4 linked regions of the Saccharomyces cerevisiae S288C genome follow. The main gene of each other region encodes a partner of the protein of the gene in region 4 in a complex. Each region holds a gene or a part of one and is shown on either strand. Other genes may lie near its edges. The genes, in order: SWD2, PTA1, PAP1 and PFS2.

Region 1 (4,842 bases), on a different chromosome or scaffold from region 4:
ATCCAGCAATTGCTAATTAAAAATCCTGAGGAGAGAATCTTAATTTGTGGGCCTTCCAATATTTCTGTGGATACGATTCTGGAGAGGCTAACGCCTCTTGTGCCGAATAATTTATTATTAAGAATCGGTCATCCTGCTAGGCTATTAGACTCTAATAAAAGACACTCTCTTGATATACTTAGTAAAAAGAATACTATTGTGAAGGACATTTCCCAGGAGATTGACAAATTAATTCAGGAGAATAAAAAACTAAAAAACTATAAGCAACGTAAAGAAAACTGGAACGAAATTAAACTGCTGCGCAAAGATTTAAAGAAAAGAGAGTTCAAAACCATTAAGGACTTAATAATACAATCGAGAATAGTCGTCACCACTTTACACGGTTCATCATCGAGAGAACTATGCTCCCTTTATAGAGATGATCCAAATTTCCAGCTTTTCGATACCTTGATCATCGATGAAGTCTCACAGGCCATGGAACCACAATGCTGGATCCCACTAATTGCACATCAAAATCAGTTCCACAAACTAGTCCTTGCTGGTGACAATAAACAATTGCCACCCACAATCAAAACAGAAGACGACAAAAATGTCATTCACAATTTGGAAACCACACTATTTGACAGAATAATCAAAATATTCCCGAAAAGGGATATGGTAAAATTTCTTAACGTTCAATACAGGATGAATCAAAAAATTATGGAATTTCCATCGCACTCAATGTATAATGGGAAACTATTGGCCGATGCAACGGTCGCGAACAGACTTTTGATAGACCTACCGACCGTCGATGCTACGCCATCTGAGGATGATGACGATACAAAAATTCCTTTAATTTGGTATGATACGCAAGGTGATGAATTTCAAGAGACTGCAGATGAAGCTACTATCCTTGGATCTAAGTATAATGAGGGCGAAATTGCCATTGTAAAAGAACACATTGAGAATTTAAGGTCATTCAACGTCCCGGAGAACTCTATAGGTGTTATTTCTCCATACAATGCACAAGTTTCTCATCTGAAAAAATTGATCCATGATGAATTAAAATTAACTGATATTGAAATATCAACTGTAGATGGGTTCCAGGGCCGTGAAAAAGATGTTATCATATTGAGTTTAGTTCGTAGCAATGAAAAATTTGAAGTTGGTTTCCTTAAGGAAGAACGAAGACTGAACGTCGCCATGACAAGACCCAGAAGGCAACTAGTTGTTGTTGGCAATATAGAAGTTCTGCAAAGGTGCGGTAACAAGTACCTAAAAAGTTGGTCAGAATGGTGTGAAGAGAACGCTGACGTAAGGTACCCCAACATTGACGATTATTTGTAAAGAATACACAAGATGTATAGAGTATACGTCGTTATACAGTAGGTAAAAAATGTTCGTTATATATTATATCCTCTAGTATATCAATGCAGTAGCAGCAGTCATTCATCGTACACGTAAAAATCTACTGTTTCGTCTGCGGTAACAAACATCGAATATTTAGGGTTGAATGCAATTGACCTGGGGCAGGTCTCATGAGAAACACAGGGAATGAACCCTTGCGGCCTTAATACTTTGTTACTTATTGAATCAGAATGATTCCAAATGGCAATCCTACCGTCATAATCGGTTCCAAGGACGAATTCACCATCTGGTGTGAAACAAGCAGATCCAGAATCTAGAAATTCTCTCATCGGGAAGGCCCTTGTTCCTATTAGTTCGAATAATTGTTGACCTGTGAATGCGTCAAAAATTAAATGCTTTCCTATCGAGGAGCCAACTAATAAATACTTTCCATTGTTAGAAAATTCTAATTTATTCCATTGACTGAAAGTCGCATCATTAATTTTAATTATCAAGAAAGGACCCTCCTGAATTTTTTTCAGATTATATAGCCCTATTTCGAAATTCTCTGGGTTCCCCAATGCGAATACAAGGCCACTTGGATCATATGCGATACAATTTGGTACGAGACTTGGTATAATAACTTGCGGTTTAGAGATCTTCAAATCCCAAAGCCTAACGGATTCATCGTATGACGACGATAGAAACGTATCGTTCACGGGGTTCATCTTCAAATCATTCACTAGGGCGCCATGACCGGAAAAATATCTTAGATATTGGTTTGTTTCCAGATTAAGGTATTTAATGTCAAAATTTTTCATTGTAGAGGAATAGATACATTCGTTTTGTGCGTGCGTAAAGATAGCGGAGTGACAGCCATATTTCTTAGAGGCTATAGTGTCCAAGAATTTGCAGTTCGTGGCACTGTACAATTGCATTGTATCGTTGGAAGAAGAGGTCAGTAGAAACTGGCCATTATCGTCGAAATTCAATGAGGTTACGGGTCCGCAGTCTTTTTCTTGAGGTTGAAAGCTTTTAACATGCTTGAATTTCAGCAGGTTGGGCTTATTGATGGACACGGTGGTCATTGTTGGCTATGCTAAAAGGACAAACGGTGTATTTGCTTGTGCTTTGCTCGATATTTTAGTCTTGCTTTCATTTTTTTTCTTTCTTTTTTAATGTACTAGTGCTAAACTGCATGAAGAAAAAATGGGTAAAAAAAGGTATCGAATAAATGAGTGTAGGTAACAGTTAAACAGCAAAAAGAAGGAGCAAAAGAGAGTGAAGATCAGATCGTAACATATTGCAAGATGTTGGGAATGATAAGGTGGGTAGTAGAGGGGACGTTGGTAGCTATGCTCCTATCGGCAATAAGAAGGGAGACGGGAATGATATTCTTTTACAACCAGTATCAGTTGGGCGGCTGGATACATAGATATCTGTCATGGGGAGAGATGTGCTACACAAGGACGCTGAAGATGGTTAAACGTTCTAAATTTTTCAGAAAGCAGTTGAACGAGGACGGGTTTGGACGCATCAATGATAGCGGTCCAAAACGAAGGGGAAGAGATCAATCTCAATACAGCAGTAGGTTTGTAGAACTAGATTAAACTTGCGTGCATGCACGTACACACGTAAATATATTCGTACAAATAGAGTGCTTACATATATTCAGTTCAGATTATTTATTTTGTGGTGCCACAAGTTTTTTCTAATAGGATCGTATTTGATTGCTAGCAAGCTATAGGCCTTAACAGCGTTGTCTCGGGTACAAGGGTCTGCCCCCCAGTGATATGCCAGGAATTCCAGGGCATATGAGGACTCGATCTCGGGCAAATCCTCTGGTGAGCCAATTGGAAGTGACAATACGTCACCGATGAAGGTTGTGGCGAAGTCGACTACTTTGCTATCCCACTGTAGCCTATCATGGAATAGCTCTTGGAAACCACGGAGGTAGGTCCACGGACTGATGTTCTGCGGAACCAATTGAATCTTGTCCATAATGAACTGGAGCTCGTCGGCCAATTCCACTTTTGAAATGACATCTTTAGCGTTCACCCAGTAAAACATCCTATGAGTCCATGCGCTGTTGTTATAAATGTCTGTCTCGATGAGGTCGCTGGCGTAGGCGAGCTCATGTTGAAAGTCACTGAAGAACAAACAGCACCACTTTCTGTACGACCAAACGTGATAATTCTTGGAATCATCATCAATCATCAGTTTTAAGATAGGCAGCTCTCTTTTGAAGGAAGGAGACGGATGTAGCTTCAAAAGAGACTGTCTATAGGACCAGATCTGATAGTTCTTTGGATTATTCAGCGTAACTTCATCTAGCCAGTCTAATTCCTTGTTCAGGTACAAGACAGTGTCTTCGGATTCACTCATCATGTGCCTGACGATATTGAATCGGTAGTTCCATATGGTGTAGAAGGCTGGCGCCACGTCGATAATTTCGGCTGTTAGCTGTAGTGCCCTGGGTGACAGTTCGTTAAGGCTGATCAGAGCCCTTGCGAGTCCCATCAACCGCTTATAATCCTCGGTATACATAATCCTGCACAGTTCATCCTGCAAGTCTGTCTCAATGGGCAAAGGTTTAACGTCTGAATAATCGTACTCCTCCATTTTCGATGGTGTACGTTGTATCAGCACTTGATATATAATATACCATAATTAACAGTCTTGCAGTAGGTCTGCACCAACAGTTAAGGACCAATTTAACAGAATGTCAAAAGCGAAACTTTGCTGATGTGTTTTATCACGAGGCCCAATCGAAAACCGGCGCGAGCACTGCTGCAACCTTCAAAAATGAGAGAGCGCTTCCCAGCAGGTCTCTAGTTGCATATGGATAGCGTCATGATGAATATAGGTCAGCATAGGGCTCTGGAAGGCCTGGCATTATCGGTTATTGTCGCTATTGCTGCCCTTTTCTCTGCTCGTGTAAGGTGACATTGTTGTATTCCCGCTTTTTTCGTTTCAATTTTAACGGCAAGGAGCAACCATGAAAGTAAGATGATCGCATGAACTGAAAATGTCAACGAAACTCATTCAAAATAATTATACTCTAGATATCCTCTAAACGACTAATCACAACAGTAGTACACCACTGAAAATGATGAGTGGCACAGGAAACGTTTCCTCGATGCTCCACAGCTATAGCGCCAACATACAGCACAACGATGGCTCTCCGGACTTGGATTTACTAGAATCAGAATTACTGGATATTGCTCTGCTCAACTCTGGGTCCTCTCTGCAAGACCCTGGTTTATTGAGTCTGAACCAAGAGAAAATGATAACAGCAGGTACTACTACACCAGGTAAGGAAGATGAAGGGGAGCTCAGGGATGACATCGCATCTTTGCAAGGATTGCTTGATCGACACGTTCAATTTGGCAGAAAGCTACCTCTGAGGACGCCATACGCGAATCCACTGGATTTTATCAACATTAACCCGCAGTCCCTTCCATTGTCTCTAGAAATTATTGGGTTGCCGAAGGTTTCTAGGGTGGAAACTCAGAT
Region 2 (6,239 bases), on a different chromosome or scaffold from region 4:
CAATCTCAGTGCCCACTTCTGGCAACTCAACATAGGTAGCGTCCCCTAAGGCATCAGTGGCGTATTTTGTAATTCCGACAAAGGCAGTCTTGTCCTGATGCACAGCTATCCACTCATGTTGGGAAGTGTACCTCACGGCTTGAGGTCCTTGGGATGAGTACAAAAATGGTAGTTTATTCTTGTTTAGGGCATTGCCGGAGCTGTTTCTCAAAAACAATTTGCTCACAGTGGGCATGCGGGTGGTCCATAGTCTAGTAGTGCGTAACATTGTCGATGTGGTATGCTTCATGTGGAGATTCCCTTTCCCATTAGATACTTGTTTGTTGGTCTGTATATATAGAAGAAAGAGTTAGCGAAAGTGACTCCGCCGCTGAATGACTCCTTACGGAAGTGTCAAAATTGCGAGGTCCCTATAGCACAGAATGATAGATAAAACATTGATTTGCAAGTTGAAGGAAGACCCTACACATGCGTATATATGATGTATGTAATGGTTGTGATCATTTTAGCCTGTCAAGCAGTGAATCGCACTGCTTGTGTAAGCCTTCATCTTCTTGCTTTAGCTGATGCAGCAGGTCGCGAACAGTGTCCTGCACTGGGGGTCTAAACATAATGAGAAACTTTAGCGTTTGGAAACCAAGGGAACTTCTTGCCGGATCCAGGCAGATAGGCTTCAGTGCCTCAAGATGATCGCTTTGAAGACTGGGCAGTTCGCTCATAAGTCTGATGAAGAATCGTCTGTGTTTGTTTTCAAGGAATGGACCCAGAGACTCGAGAACTCTTAAGGACCATTTTTTGTAGTTAGAGGGATCTTGATGCAGCGAGGTTTGGAAGAACCATTCTTCATTGAGCCATTCAATGATCAGACTGACACGTTGCTCGAAATCCTGGATGAAGAAGCCAAGCAGTTCTTCACGAATCAGGTCACTGGCCTCTTGTGCTTCGATTCCTCTCGTAACCAATCTGATTAAGACGTGTAACCATGACGAGGAGTCGTCATCGTCCAGTAATATGGAGGAGGAAGACGAAGATTTGGCCCGGGTAGTATCCTGGCGACCGGATAATTCAAACAGTTTCTTGGTCAGCTTTGAGAGGTACTTTAGTTTTTCATCCTGCGTCAATGAGTCAGGTTCAAAGGGGGGTGCGATCTCCTTAATGGCAGAAGTTGATTTGTTGGCATCTCCTGAGATTTCTTGGGCGCTTTCCTCTTCTTGAAGCATCTTCTGCATTCGGTCATCGTCTTCGGGCTCCTCTGGTTCCTCCGCTAGTGGTTCTGTTTCCATTTTGATTTTCTTGCTATTAGCCGTTGGGCCATCGTTTCCAACTTCTTCATTGTCGTTGCCGTCGTCATCATCGTCGGATTTCCTCTTTGATGATGACGAGGACGGTACAGAATTGATGTACGTATTCATTAAATCCGTGTACCTCGAAGCAACGATAGACAATCCGGTGATCAGTTTCGTGCTGTCCATTTGCAAGATGGCCTCTGTGGACAGCTTGATAAGTATGTCATTGGGTAGCTGGGTCACATCCTGGTTGGAGTTCGAACTGTTCATCAATGAGTACACAGATGAGTAGGTGTTGCTGATTGGTTTGGGTGAGTTGTTGAAAAAAGTATTGCCCTGGTGTGAAGCCTTGTTGAGGGTGTATTTTTGCAATATCTTCAGTTGATCAAGCATGTTTTCGGTTGAAGAGCCCGTTGCAGGTGCGGACACAGGCGTGGGGGTCTTTGTGGACACCCCTAGAGTAGACAATAACGCGGATAATTGCCTTTTCCATAGTGAGATGTATTTTAGTTTGTCCTGCCTGGACAACGTTTTCTTGCTATTGCCCTTGGAAGGGTCGAAGTTCAAAATTCCCTTGCTCTTGGTCTCTTCGCCAATAACGTGTAAAGTTTGAGAAATCTTGGTCAGCTTGGAGTAGATCGATGACCCTGATCCGGATGAGAGGGATTTTGTAATGATTTGATTTTTTAGCCCAAATTGCACAAAGTTCTTGTACGCCCTTTCAACAAATCTCTTGGATAGTTTGTAGTTCAAGTCAGACTTGCCCTCTAGGGGAAACTTGGCGTCGACGTTGAAACGCAACAGCCCGGAAAGAATTCTTATTGTTGTCTGCGGCCTTCTTTTGATGACGAAGGATAAAGAATTGATGATACCAATGAAAACGGACGAGACCATGTACTGTTCCTCAATTAGGTAGTTTAGCAACATATCAAGAAGCCTCTTAGCCTCGCTCTCCAAAGCCGGTTTGTTCAACACAGGGTGGTTATCCGGGATGGTAGATGAATTAATCTCGTTGCCGCTGGGTGATTTAGTTTGCGACAGCACGACCTCAGATATGAACTTGATGGTCGCTAATTTCACGCCGATATTTTGGTCAATCTGCGCCAGCCATTGTTCGACATCCGTTTCATCGTCAACGGTGGCACGCAAAGGATATGCAGTTCTCCAGTGCGAGAGCACGAACTTCTTCAGCATACACAACTGATCAAACATTTCCTGGTTTGATGTCTTAGCAACCAGATCCAACACCAGCGGGTATGAAGCGCACATAATAAGCACGATATTCTTGTACACTAGTACGTCCGCGGTGGATTGCGCCATAGCAAGAAGTAGTGGCAGATATTGAGCAGCAATAAACGGTCTCTCAGTATTCGCAATTGGAGAGTCCATCGACACCACGTCTAGAACTAACTGTGTAAAAAACTTGGCCAAAGGCAACTTCAGCTTGCTGAGATTACCGTTGTGGTACATGGATGCCGTAGTTTCGAGCACCTTGGGCAGCATCTCCGTTGGATTGTTGTGCATGGCCAGTGTCTTGGCCTGTAACAATTGTTCCATCTCTGCAGATGACATTGCGCTGCTTAGTGGTAGTTATATGCTTCTTGCCACGATTTAACCATTTGTTCAGTCAAGTACTAACGGTTAAAAGGTATCGAAATATGGCAACTTTTCACTTTTAGATCAAGTCACTATATACGACTTGAACATCAGAACGGCGATTTTCCATCAAGATGGAGTGGAAACCACGCCATTATAAAGGAAAGCTAGTTTTATGTCTCGTATACATGCGGAGTAGGACAGTGATATAACACACATAGCTAGACACAATAGACATCATGAAAAGGTCCACGTTGCTGTCGCTGGACGCATTCGCTAAGACCGAAGAGGACGTACGAGTCCGCACCAGGGCCGGCGGGCTGATCACTTTATCGTGCATCTTGACCACGTTATTTCTGCTGGTGAACGAGTGGGGACAGTTCAATTCTGTGGTAACAAGGCCACAATTGGTGGTGGACCGTGACCGACACGCAAAGCTGGAGCTTAATATGGATGTGACATTTCCATCGATGCCATGTGACCTGGTGAATCTCGATATTATGGACGACTCTGGAGAGATGCAACTAGACATTCTTGACGCAGGGTTCACGATGTCTAGGTTGAATAGCGAGGGTCGCCCCGTGGGAGATGCTACTGAGTTGCATGTGGGTGGGAACGGCGACGGAACCGCGCCGGTTAATAACGATCCTAACTATTGTGGGCCATGTTACGGTGCCAAAGATCAGTCGCAGAATGAGAATCTAGCACAGGAAGAGAAGGTTTGCTGCCAAGACTGTGATGCAGTGAGATCAGCATACTTGGAGGCAGGCTGGGCTTTTTTCGACGGGAAGAATATCGAGCAGTGTGAAAGAGAGGGCTATGTCAGCAAGATTAACGAGCACTTGAATGAAGGCTGCAGGATCAAAGGTTCTGCACAAATTAACAGAATTCAGGGGAATCTTCACTTTGCCCCTGGAAAACCCTACCAGAATGCATATGGACATTTTCATGATACTTCTTTGTACGACAAGACTTCGAATTTGAACTTCAACCACATCATCAATCATTTGAGCTTTGGGAAGCCGATCCAGTCCCACAGTAAGTTGTTAGGAAACGATAAGCGCCACGGCGGCGCCGTAGTTGCCACTTCTCCCTTGGACGGACGCCAGGTGTTCCCGGACAGGAACACACACTTTCACCAGTTCTCGTATTTTGCCAAGATTGTCCCCACCAGATATGAGTACTTGGATAATGTTGTCATTGAGACCGCGCAGTTCAGCGCCACTTTTCATTCCCGACCTCTTGCCGGTGGAAGGGACAAGGATCATCCAAACACACTTCACGTTAGGGGTGGTATCCCTGGTATGTTCGTCTTTTTCGAAATGTCTCCATTGAAAGTCATCAATAAGGAACAGCACGGGCAGACTTGGTCGGGCTTCATCTTGAATTGTATCACCAGCATTGGTGGTGTCCTAGCTGTGGGCACTGTCATGGACAAGCTATTCTACAAAGCACAGAGATCGATCTGGGGCAAGAAGAGCCAGTAGAGGAAGAGACTGTCATAGGGAAGAGCCCTTTCTACATACTACTACATAATATATATATATAGTATAGAAATTGGTATATCACTACTTGTACAAATATCATATTGTACGATAATCGCGAAGAACGACGCACTGGTGGGAAGAAGTGGAAAACAGAAGCTTTAAGGTAGAAACAGAACAAGAATGTGGCTATGGTAGGATAGCAGAAGAGTACCATTGCTGTTATCATTTGTTGCCTAGCCCTATCAAGACCTGTCTGCTAATCCAACCCGAGAGATCATGGCGATCCAAACCCGTTTTGCCTCGGGCACATCTTTATCCGATTTGAAACCAAAACCAAGTGCAACTTCCATCTCCATACCCATGCAAAATGTCATGAACAAGCCTGTCACGGAACAGGACTCACTGTTCCATATATGCGCAAACATCCGGAAAAGACTGGAGGTGTTACCTCAACTCAAACCTTTTTTACAATTGGCCTACCAATCGAGCGAGGTTTTGAGTGAAAGGCAATCTCTTTTGCTATCCCAAAAGCAGCATCAGGAACTGCTCAAGTCCAATGGCGCTAACCGGGACAGTAGCGACTTGGCACCAACTTTAAGGTCTAGCTCTATCTCCACAGCTACCAGTCTCATGTCGATGGAAGGTATATCATACACGAATTCGAATCCCTCGGCCACCCCAAATATGGAGGACACTTTACTGACTTTTAGTATGGGTATTTTGCCCATTACCATGGATTGCGACCCTGTGACACAACTATCACAGCTGTTTCAACAAGGTGCGCCCCTCTGTATACTTTTCAACTCTGTGAAGCCGCAATTTAAATTACCGGTAATAGCATCTGACGATTTGAAAGTCTGTAAAAAATCCATTTATGACTTTATATTGGGCTGCAAGAAACACTTTGCATTTAACGATGAGGAGCTTTTCACTATATCCGACGTTTTTGCCAACTCTACTTCCCAGCTGGTCAAAGTGCTAGAAGTAGTAGAAACGCTAATGAATTCCAGCCCTACTATTTTCCCCTCTAAGAGTAAGACACAGCAAATCATGAACGCAGAAAACCAACACCGACATCAGCCTCAGCAGTCTTCGAAGAAGCATAACGAGTATGTTAAAATTATCAAGGAATTCGTTGCAACGGAAAGAAAATATGTTCACGATTTGGAAATTTTGGATAAATATAGACAGCAGTTATTAGACAGCAATCTAATAACGTCTGAAGAGTTGTACATGTTGTTCCCTAATTTGGGTGATGCTATAGATTTTCAAAGAAGATTTCTAATATCCTTGGAAATAAATGCTTTAGTAGAACCTTCCAAGCAAAGAATCGGGGCTCTTTTCATGCATTCCAAACATTTTTTTAAGTTGTATGAGCCTTGGTCTATTGGCCAAAATGCAGCCATCGAATTTCTCTCTTCAACTTTGCACAAGATGAGGGTTGATGAATCGCAGCGGTTCATAATTAACAATAAACTGGAATTGCAATCCTTCCTTTATAAACCCGTGCAAAGGCTTTGTAGATATCCCCTGTTGGTCAAAGAATTGCTTGCTGAATCGAGTGACGATAATAATACGAAAGAACTTGAAGCTGCTTTAGATATTTCTAAAAATATTGCGAGAAGTATCAACGAAAATCAAAGAAGAACAGAAAATCATCAAGTGGTGAAGAAACTTTATGGTAGAGTGGTCAACTGGAAGGGTTATAGAATTTCCAAGTTCGGTGAGTTATTATATTTCGATAAAGTGTTCATTTCAACAACAAATAGCTCCTCGGAACCTGAAAGAGAATTTGAGGTTTATCTTTTTGAAAAAATCATCATCCTTTTTTCAGAGGTAGTGACTAAGAAATCTGCATCATCACTAATCC
Region 3 (4,294 bases), on a different chromosome or scaffold from region 4:
AACTGGATTTGCTCAACCGGTGCGAATCAGATCCTACGGTCAGTTTTTTGGAGCCCATTGTAACTTCTTTTAGTATATCTGTGTCAATAAAGGTACAGATTGCATGAACTCACACTTCATGTAACTGTCAGACGTAATTCTCGAGATAAACGTCTCGTTGAAGCTTGTTTTGTTATATTTGTCAATCCTGGGTCCCCTATTCCGTCAGAAAAAAAAAAGCCTAAATATCTGGCCGAAACTCGGAAAGGAAAAGGTTCCGTTCCTTTCCCAGCCAATTTAACTATGCCTTCAAAGGTATCATCCTGACATCCAGCTTGTAACACAAAATTCTCACCTAATGGTAAAATGTCGCTACACGCGAAAGAGCATATGTAGAGAGAATCTCGTAAACGTTTTACTGCTTCGTAAAAAAAGTACTTTGATTCAAAAAAAAGGGTACAAATTTGTTTATGACTGATTAACCTATATTAATAAACTATTCAACTATAAATAGGAATGTCTTAGTTTACGTCAACAGCTGCGGTTGTGCCATTGATGTTGTCACCTGAAGCAGCATCTGATTTAGATCTCTTCACGGTTTCATGTCTAGCATCTAAATTCTTCCTTTTACTCTTCTTTGATGGTCTCTTTTCATTTTCATCGAAAACTTCATCTGGCAAATCGTAACCCTTTACGAAGCGGAGGGCTAGATTGAATACTTTGTGGTCACCATAATCCTCATTGAAACTTCGACATAAATTCACAAATTCAGTGCAGGGAATGTGAATGTCAACTTTTTCCTTTTTGTTTTCAATATTAAAGTCAAGGCCTATGTACATGGTGCTTAAATATGCCTTTGGTGCATCTTTAATACTTTCTTCCTCTTTATTTTCATCTGTTACCAGTTTAAGGGCGTTCAGTGCTGTCTCAGTTTTATGACTACCGTATTTGTCTTGAATCATTTCATAGTCATCCTCGGTTGGACAACAATAACTACTTTCAAAGGGTTTGGTGAAAGGATGTGCAATTTTTATTCCAGCTAACACCTCCAGTTTCATAACTAGAAGCCTTACCTTACTTTCAACAAGACCACTCCATTTTAAATGCTGCTCGTCACTGCCCCTTGTATATGCAGTAATTTCTAAATAGAACTTGTATCGAAAGAAAAAATCGTTTTTTTCGAATAAATTGGCCCAGGACTTCTTATTGGAAAAAATATCATTCGTAATTTGAACGCCTCTTACGAATTCCTGTAAAATGACTTTTTTAGTAGATTCCGTGATGTTATGGGTAGCACACATTGATGGATAAGCTGGTGTAATGACGGGCATTCTATGAGACCTGTCTTGGGCATATATCTTTGGATTCCATACACGAACTTGTAACGGGCCATCCTCAATTGGTTTCAAGATAACAGGTTGTGGCCAATTCCATTCCGACAAAATGATGAAAAATCTGTTCAATATAACTGCGCTACAGGCGTTAGGGTATAGTTGACAAATTCTAGCCACTAGCATGGCCCAAGCCACACCACCAGGAAAACCAAAAATATTAGCATAAACAGCCCTTCTTTGGGCCCATAGCTTAATAGCTCTTAAAGCGATTCTGAAAACATTCGGCTTTGGTACCAGTTCTAATATCTCATCTGTTACTCTGGTACCATTCAAAGCTCTCAAGTCCTTCTCGTCTAGATTTCGCAGTAGATTTTTATCTGATAAAGTCAAGGATAAAGGCACTTGAGGTTGGTCTAGACGTGCACAGATTAAATCGATAGAAATACCACTGAACTTTATCTTGATAATCGGGACAAACGCATCAGGTACAGGTGCAATTTCATCCAGTTCCTTCCTCTCTCTCAGTAGTGAATCAAATACCGTAAAAAAATCTTCCCGAGTTACATGTTTTGGAACAACTACCAAAGTATCGATATCACTACCAGGCCCATGGACTCCTAGTCTATAGGACCCATACGTAAAAATCTTCCCACCAGCATCCCTTGCCATCCCGTCTGACATATTTTTCTTCTTCGATACTTCATAAACAAATCTTTGTGCCAATTCCTGCAATATTTTCAACACTTGTACCCTATTGGCAGTTTCTTGCTCTGTTTCGAACGATCCTTCCTTTTTCAGTTCTTGGATTAAACTATCATTTAATTTATTTTCTGCTGCTGTGGCGCCCACGGTGGAAACAGGTCCAGTAATACCAAAAACCTTTTGAGAGCTCATTATTTGTCTAAAAAAAGTTTATGCGTTAAATATTTTGCTAATTCTAGGCCTCTTTTGATTCAAAAAAGACCGTTTAAAGACTTGCTCACAGTGAAATTATTTAGCTAGTTTAGTGTCTTTAAACTTTTGCTAAAACGTTTCACTTGAAAAATCGTTCTAATATCGTCCAGAGGATAGTATGATAGCTTCAGAGAATTCGATAGATACTTGAATCCTCTAATAGTCGAAAAATGCTCGAGGGTAAACCACTTGTGCGCTTGGACTGGCCTAGTTTCCAAAACCAATGTTCTAATGGATTGATTTCTTCCCCAAACATTATTAAGTGGCCGGGTCACCCAAAGACTTGGGCGCCGTTGATTCGCGTCGCTTTGCCATCAAGAGAACAACATATCTTCCAAGACAGACCGAGATAATTCATCTATTTACTCCTAAAAAAGAATTAGAGAGGCCTTTTATAGCACCAAAATAAGGACCGTACGAAAACTGCACATTTTATATTATCAGATATCATGGATGAGCATTTAATTTCTACTATTAACAAGCTTCAGGACGCTTTGGCGCCCTTAGGAGGAGGATCTCAATCTCCTATTGATTTACCACAGATCACTGTTGTCGGTTCCCAGTCGTCAGGAAAGTCGTCCGTTTTGGAGAACATTGTTGGTAGGGATTTCTTGCCAAGAGGTACTGGTATTGTCACCAGGAGACCTTTAGTGTTACAATTGATTAATAGGAGACCAAAAAAGTCAGAACATGCTAAAGTAAACCAAACTGCTAATGAATTGATTGACTTGAACATCAACGATGATGACAAGAAAAAGGATGAATCAGGAAAGCACCAGAACGAGGGACAATCTGAAGACAATAAAGAGGAATGGGGTGAATTTTTGCATTTACCTGGTAAGAAGTTTTATAATTTTGACGAAATTAGAAAGGAAATCGTCAAAGAAACTGACAAAGTGACAGGTGCCAATTCAGGTATTTCTTCTGTGCCCATTAACTTGAGAATTTATTCTCCGCATGTTCTTACTTTGACGTTAGTGGATTTGCCTGGGTTGACGAAGGTTCCCGTAGGTGACCAACCTCCTGATATTGAAAGACAAATTAAGGACATGTTGTTAAAGTATATTTCGAAACCAAACGCTATCATATTATCTGTTAATGCCGCTAACACCGATTTAGCCAACAGCGATGGTTTGAAGCTGGCTAGAGAGGTCGATCCAGAAGGAACGAGAACTATTGGTGTCTTGACAAAAGTCGATTTGATGGATCAAGGTACAGATGTCATAGATATTTTGGCTGGAAGAGTCATTCCTTTGAGATATGGTTATATCCCAGTTATCAATAGAGGTCAAAAGGATATTGAACACAAAAAAACAATCAGAGAAGCCCTTGAAAACGAAAGAAAATTTTTTGAGAACCATCCCTCTTACAGTTCTAAAGCTCATTACTGTGGTACACCATATTTGGCTAAAAAGTTAAACTCAATCTTATTACACCACATTAGGCAAACTCTGCCAGAAATCAAAGCGAAAATCGAAGCCACATTGAAAAAATATCAAAACGAACTTATAAACTTGGGCCCAGAAACTATGGATTCAGCTAGTTCGGTTGTTTTGAGCATGATTACTGATTTTTCCAATGAATATGCCGGTATCTTGGACGGTGAGGCGAAGGAGCTTTCCAGTCAGGAACTTTCTGGTGGTGCTAGAATTTCTTACGTATTCCATGAAACTTTCAAAAATGGTGTAGACTCTTTGGATCCATTCGACCAGATCAAAGATTCTGATATCAGAACCATTATGTACAATAGTTCAGGTTCTGCCCCATCTTTGTTTGTCGGTACCGAAGCTTTTGAAGTTTTAGTTAAACAGCAAATTAGAAGATTTGAAGAACCATCTCTACGTTTAGTTACTCTGGTGTTTGATGAACTTGTTCGTATGCTAAAACAGATTATTTCACAACCAAAGTACTCAAGGTATCCTGCTCTAAGAGAAGCGATTTCTAATCAGTTCATTCAGTTCTTAAAGGATGCTACTATTCCTACGAATGAGTTTGTTGTCGATATCATCAAAGCTGAACAAACTTAC
Region 4 (5,024 bases):
TTCACACAATGATACTATTATTCAAGATGGGTACTGGGATATAATAAGAGATTTTCTAATAGAGAAGGGTTTTATCTAAAAGTAATAATCAAAATATTTGATAGATTTATTTACTTTACTGTATGTAAAGAAAATGTGGTCAGTCCTCACGGCCACTTAGTTACTGATGGTTATTTATTATGGAAAAAAAAACTGCACTTTGCTACTTCTTCTATTTATATTATGTAATATCTACTCCGGTTCAAATATTTTATTGATCTCTTGCTCATTCTTTTTCCTCGTTTCAGGAACTAGTATCCAACTGAATATTATCAACGCTAATAGGCAAGCAGCAAATATGTATCCTAGTTTGAAATCAATTTTGGATACAATCATTGGTGTTAAAAGTGATATTAAGAAATTGAACATCCAATTGATAAATGTGCAAATAGCCATTGATATGGCCCTCGTTCTTAGAGGGAACAATTCGGACACTAGTACAAATGTAACTGGGCCCAATGTTATTGCAAACCAAAAAATAAAACAACAAGTCACGATAATTAAAACAATATTTGAGAAGTCCGTTTCTCTTCCAAATGTCCCCACAGTAGCATATGTCATCATATAAAATAATAAATTTGTTGAACCATATAATAAACATGTCTTGTGGCCCCATTTCTCCACGTAATATATGCCTAATATCGTAGAAAGGAAGTTAACACTTGACAGTATGATTGAAGTAATATAAGGATCCTTAATCCCGACACCTTTGAAAACAGACGTTCCGTAATAAAAGAAATAATTTATTCCGGACAGCTGTTGAAATGCCATTATCATCATACCAATAATCAGTCTCAACCATAACTTTGGCTTTCCCATAATAAATTCAAATGTGTTTCTTTTAACTAAGCTTTGCTTTTTTGATTCGTTGTTAGTTTCCTCATTATTATAGTTATTTTCCAGCAAATCATCGATGAATTCAATTACCATGCTATCCGTCGCAGGGATGCCATTCATCCTCGCAAAAGAGTATTTAGCAGAGGGCACATCATTTTTGATTTTTGCCAAGTACTGTGGAGATTCAGGAACGTAAACAAGTGACATTCCAATTATAATTGCCCAAATGTATCCCAAGAACAATGGCAATTGCCAGGCTATATTTTGTGTAGGATCTTTATAACATCTTTCGCATATGAAATTTAAAATGTTTCCCATTAGTATGCCAAATGTTACAATCAATTGATACGTAGATACCATGGAGCCTCTGATTTTTAGTGGAGAATTCTCGGAGAGAAACATTGGCACCAAGACAGTGGTTACTCCCACACCGATTCCCGTTACGGCTCTTCCCAATGTCAAAAAATACCACCTTCCATAGGAGAGAATTTGAATGGTTATACCGATGCAGTACACTACTAAGGCAAACCATATACCACCTTTCCTACCAATCCAATCACCGATTTTTGACAGAGTTAAAGCCCCTACGCCACAACTGATGTTAAAAATACTGATAATTAGGCCTATTTGCAGATCAGTAAGTTTCTTAGTAGATACAAAAATTGTTTCATCGTCATGGATAATATTAGTTGTGCCAAATTTTTCTTGAAAGCTAACCATATTTGTCATTCCACCGATGGTTCCAATGTCCCATCCAAAAATAAAGCCACCAAGCGAGATTACCAAGCACAATAAAACGGGAATATGCAGACTCGCATTGTGACTAATCTTTGCTGCTTGGCCTTCTATATTTTCTTCTTTATCATCTAGATACTTAATGGTTACATTATAATCCCTTCCCCTGCCTGCATCAAGCTCATTATTGTGAAAATGAGAGATGTATCCCGAGCTATGTTGATACGGAATCTGAGCAGTCATTTCTAGCAATAATTGAAGTACTTTACTTCCTAAGAATACGTTAACAAATTCTTTGTTAGTATTTCTAATTAAAAGTGGTTAATTGTTCTGTTAAACAGTATTCAATGTTGCTATTTGAATTTGTGTCATCATTAGAATTACTGACATTTTTATTTTCTATTTTTTTTTCTATTTTTTTTCCTCTTCTTTTGAGGGCCGACGTATCGATTTGTCAAGGGAAGTATAATTAAAGAAAGCACTGATATACAGGTTGCTGGGTAGATATTAAGAAGCTCAACATAGACACGTTATGGACGGGCATAATCAGAACCAGTACCAGAATCAGAATCAAATTCAGCAGTCACAACAACCACCTCTGAAGAAATATGTGACACAGAGACGATCGGTAGACGTGAGTTCTCCGTATATTAACCTATATTACAACAGACGACATGGATTACCGAACCTAGTGGTAGAGCCAGAAACTTCATACACAATAGATATAATGCCGCCTAATGCCTACAGAGGTCGAGATCGAGTCATAAATTTGCCCAGCAAATTTACGCATTTAAGCTCGAATAAAGTGAAACATGTGATACCCGCCATCCAATGGACCCCAGAAGGCAGAAGACTTGTAGTAGCAACTTATAGCGGAGAATTTTCTCTATGGAACGCATCTTCGTTTACGTTTGAAACCCTCATGCAAGCACATGATTCGGCTGTGACTACAATGAAATATTCTCACGACAGTGATTGGATGATTAGTGGGGACGCAGATGGAATGATTAAGATATGGCAACCAAACTTTAGTATGGTTAAAGAAATTGATGCTGCACACACGGAAAGTATTAGGGATATGGCATTCAGTAGTAACGACTCGAAATTTGTTACCTGTTCAGATGATAATATCTTGAAGATTTGGAACTTCAGCAATGGCAAACAAGAAAGAGTATTATCGGGGCACCACTGGGACGTGAAAAGTTGTGATTGGCATCCCGAGATGGGGTTAATTGCCTCCGCATCTAAGGACAATTTAGTAAAACTGTGGGATCCGCGTTCCGGAAACTGCATATCATCAATTCTGAAGTTCAAACATACTGTCTTGAAGACGCGATTTCAACCCACCAAGGGAAATCTATTAATGGCGATTTCAAAAGATAAATCGTGTCGTGTGTTCGACATTAGATACAGTATGAAGGAACTAATGTGTGTAAGAGATGAAACGGATTATATGACACTAGAATGGCACCCAATAAATGAATCTATGTTCACTCTGGCGTGCTATGACGGCTCGCTAAAGCATTTTGATCTTTTACAAAATCTAAACGAACCTATTTTGACTATTCCATACGCCCATGATAAGTGTATCACCTCGTTATCATATAATCCAGTAGGACATATATTTGCCACAGCAGCTAAGGATAGAACCATAAGATTTTGGACTAGAGCGAGGCCAATTGATCCTAATGCATATGATGATCCAACTTATAACAATAAGAAGATAAATGGATGGTTTTTTGGCATCAATAACGACATCAATGCTGTGAGAGAGAAGAGTGAATTCGGTGCGGCCCCGCCACCACCAGCTACACTTGAACCACATGCGTTACCAAACATGAATGGATTCATCAACAAGAAACCGCGTCAAGAAATCCCAGGCATCGATTCAAACATCAAGAGTTCCACATTGCCAGGTTTAAGCATATAAAAGTGCGCTTTGACGAGATTTTAGGATACATAAATAAAAAGACTATATAACATATTATTTGTGATAATATCTCTCATTTCTGGGGAATGTACCCCACAGGCACCACTGTTTACTTTTGTCGCTGATATCTTCATAGAATTTTTCTTTATTCTTTGGGGTATTCTTCTCGGTGTAATATTCAATGAAAAATAAATATCGCCAGTTTCTATCATGTTCGTCCAAATGGAATGGTCTAGAGTTTATAGAACACATGTTGAGTGAATGGATTTTTAGTATGTTCAAAACATCTACCAAAGAACCAGGGTCATCTTGACGAGTAGTAAAGGTGAGTAGGTTAACCCGTAGTAATCCAGTGTCTTCTACTTCATTGTCGCCTGCGTTCTCCCTTCTCTTCAATACTAAAAATCTTGTTGTATTTCCTAGCTTATCATTTATCGAATGTTCAATGATGTACGCCTTATGCAATTGGGCAGCTGTTTCACTAGCAATGGCTAAATGCAGAATGTTGTCGCAATCGGCCGTTGATGACCGAATGCATTGGTTCACTGATTCAGATGTGGAAGAACAATCCAATCTTATAAAGGTGACCTGCGGAAATTTTTCTGCCATGGACCTTAAGTAACATTCAACCTGGCCCCATACTTGCGGATGTGAGTGTATTATGACTTCTTCAAAATTTCCAAGGGATGCAATACCATTTGGTAGTTGGATTGGGCTGATTAGACAATGGGTAATGGGTACATATTGCTCCGCTATAACTTCTATATCTGGTGTAATTCTATTAGTATCTGCTGGAGCAGGTAAGGATAGGGCTTTTTTGATCATCCTATCACGCAAGAGATCATAGGAAAAAACTACTTGTCCATTGGTGGAATTTTCCAACGGTACCACTGAATAATCTATACTAGTGTCGTTCTCCAATTGGTTAAAACATTGGGGGATAGAGGCTGCTGGGAGGTACTCAACATCAGATGTTGATTGAAATTGTTGTAATGCAGCTTGATGGGAATACGTACCTTTGGGACCCAGAAAAAGAACCCTCAAAGTCTTGCTGGCCATAATTGAAGGATGAATGCGGAAATATAATGAAGTTGCTTTTCGTACTTTTTTAGCCTGTTCTTTCTGCGTATTATATTCATCTACTAAAATTTTTATTTTCATTTTTCATTATGAAAATACAAGAGTCATGCTGATAACTGTGTAAAGAAACTGTACGCTTGTCGCAGATGATGTAGTACGTATTTTATTTACAGGTGTCATTAATATATATATATATATATATATACGTATACGGAAGTAATTCTTCGTTAATTTTCCATGGACTGTGATAGCGAAATCAATTTCTCGACGGTGAATCCCGGAGAGGCCTTAGAGAAATCTCTTAACAACTGCACTCTCTGTTTAGCAACTGGAGTTTCTTCACCCATTGCACCATAAAACCTTTGCACGTTTAGCAATAACAGCTGTGCATCCTGTACATTCA

Evidence for each region.
Region 1: PFS2 (region 4) and SWD2 share a complex: the UniProt entries of both Saccharomyces cerevisiae proteins name them as parts of the cleavage and polyadenylation factor (CPF) complex.
Region 2: PFS2 (region 4) and PTA1 share a complex: the UniProt entries of both Saccharomyces cerevisiae proteins name them as parts of the cleavage and polyadenylation factor (CPF) complex.
Region 3: PFS2 (region 4) and PAP1 share a complex: the UniProt entries of both Saccharomyces cerevisiae proteins name them as parts of the cleavage and polyadenylation factor (CPF) complex.

Annotation. Positions count from the first base shown.
Region 1 is NC_001143.9:401,674-406,515, reverse strand, and holds SWD2 (WD-repeat containing protein SWD2), read right to left. Parts: upstream 2,415-4,842; coding exon 1,425-2,414; downstream 1-1,424. Other genes in the region: ATP-dependent 5'-3' DNA helicase HCS1, read left to right, coding at 1-1,326; MCO12 (Mco12p), read left to right, coding at 2,637-2,936; RAM2 (bifunctional protein farnesyltransferase/protein geranylgeranyltransferase), read right to left, coding at 2,998-3,948; SPT23 (Spt23p), read left to right, coding at 4,436-4,842. UniProt on the Saccharomyces cerevisiae protein: The COMPASS (Set1C) complex specifically mono-, di- and trimethylates histone H3 to form H3K4me1/2/3, which subsequently plays a role in telomere length maintenance and transcription elongation regulation. Involved in mediating RNA polymerase II termination.
Region 2 is NC_001133.9:58,195-64,433, forward strand, and holds PTA1 (RNA-processing protein PTA1), read right to left. Parts: upstream 2,859-6,239; coding exon 501-2,858; downstream 1-500. Other genes in the region: GCV3 (glycine decarboxylase subunit H), read right to left, coding at 1-268; retrograde cargo receptor ERV46, read left to right, coding at 3,122-4,369; Rho family guanine nucleotide exchange factor CDC24, read left to right, coding at 4,646-6,239. UniProt on the Saccharomyces cerevisiae protein: Essential in pre-tRNA processing. Component of the cleavage and polyadenylation factor (CPF) complex, which plays a key role in polyadenylation-dependent pre-mRNA 3'-end formation and cooperates with cleavage factors including the CFIA complex and NAB4/CFIB.
Region 3 is NC_001143.9:441,145-445,438, reverse strand, and holds PAP1 (polynucleotide adenylyltransferase PAP1), read right to left. Parts: upstream 2,208-4,294; coding exon 501-2,207; downstream 1-500. Other genes in the region: oxysterol-binding protein OSH6, read right to left, coding at 1-58; dynamin-like GTPase VPS1, read left to right, coding at 2,717-4,294. UniProt on the Saccharomyces cerevisiae protein: Polymerase component of the cleavage and polyadenylation factor (CPF) complex, which plays a key role in polyadenylation-dependent pre-mRNA 3'-end formation and cooperates with cleavage factors including the CFIA complex and NAB4/CFIB.
Region 4 is NC_001146.8:38,476-43,499, forward strand, and holds PFS2 (cleavage polyadenylation factor subunit PFS2), read left to right. Parts: upstream 1-2,143; coding exon 2,144-3,541; downstream 3,542-5,024. Other genes in the region: YNL320W (uncharacterized protein), read left to right, coding at 1-79; HXT14 (Hxt14p), read right to left, coding at 232-1,854; prephenate dehydratase PHA2, read right to left, coding at 3,596-4,600; ATP11 (Atp11p), read right to left, coding at 4,849-5,024. UniProt on the Saccharomyces cerevisiae protein: Integral and essential component of the cleavage and polyadenylation factor (CPF) complex, which plays a key role in polyadenylation-dependent pre-mRNA 3'-end formation and cooperates with cleavage factors including the CFIA complex and NAB4/CFIB.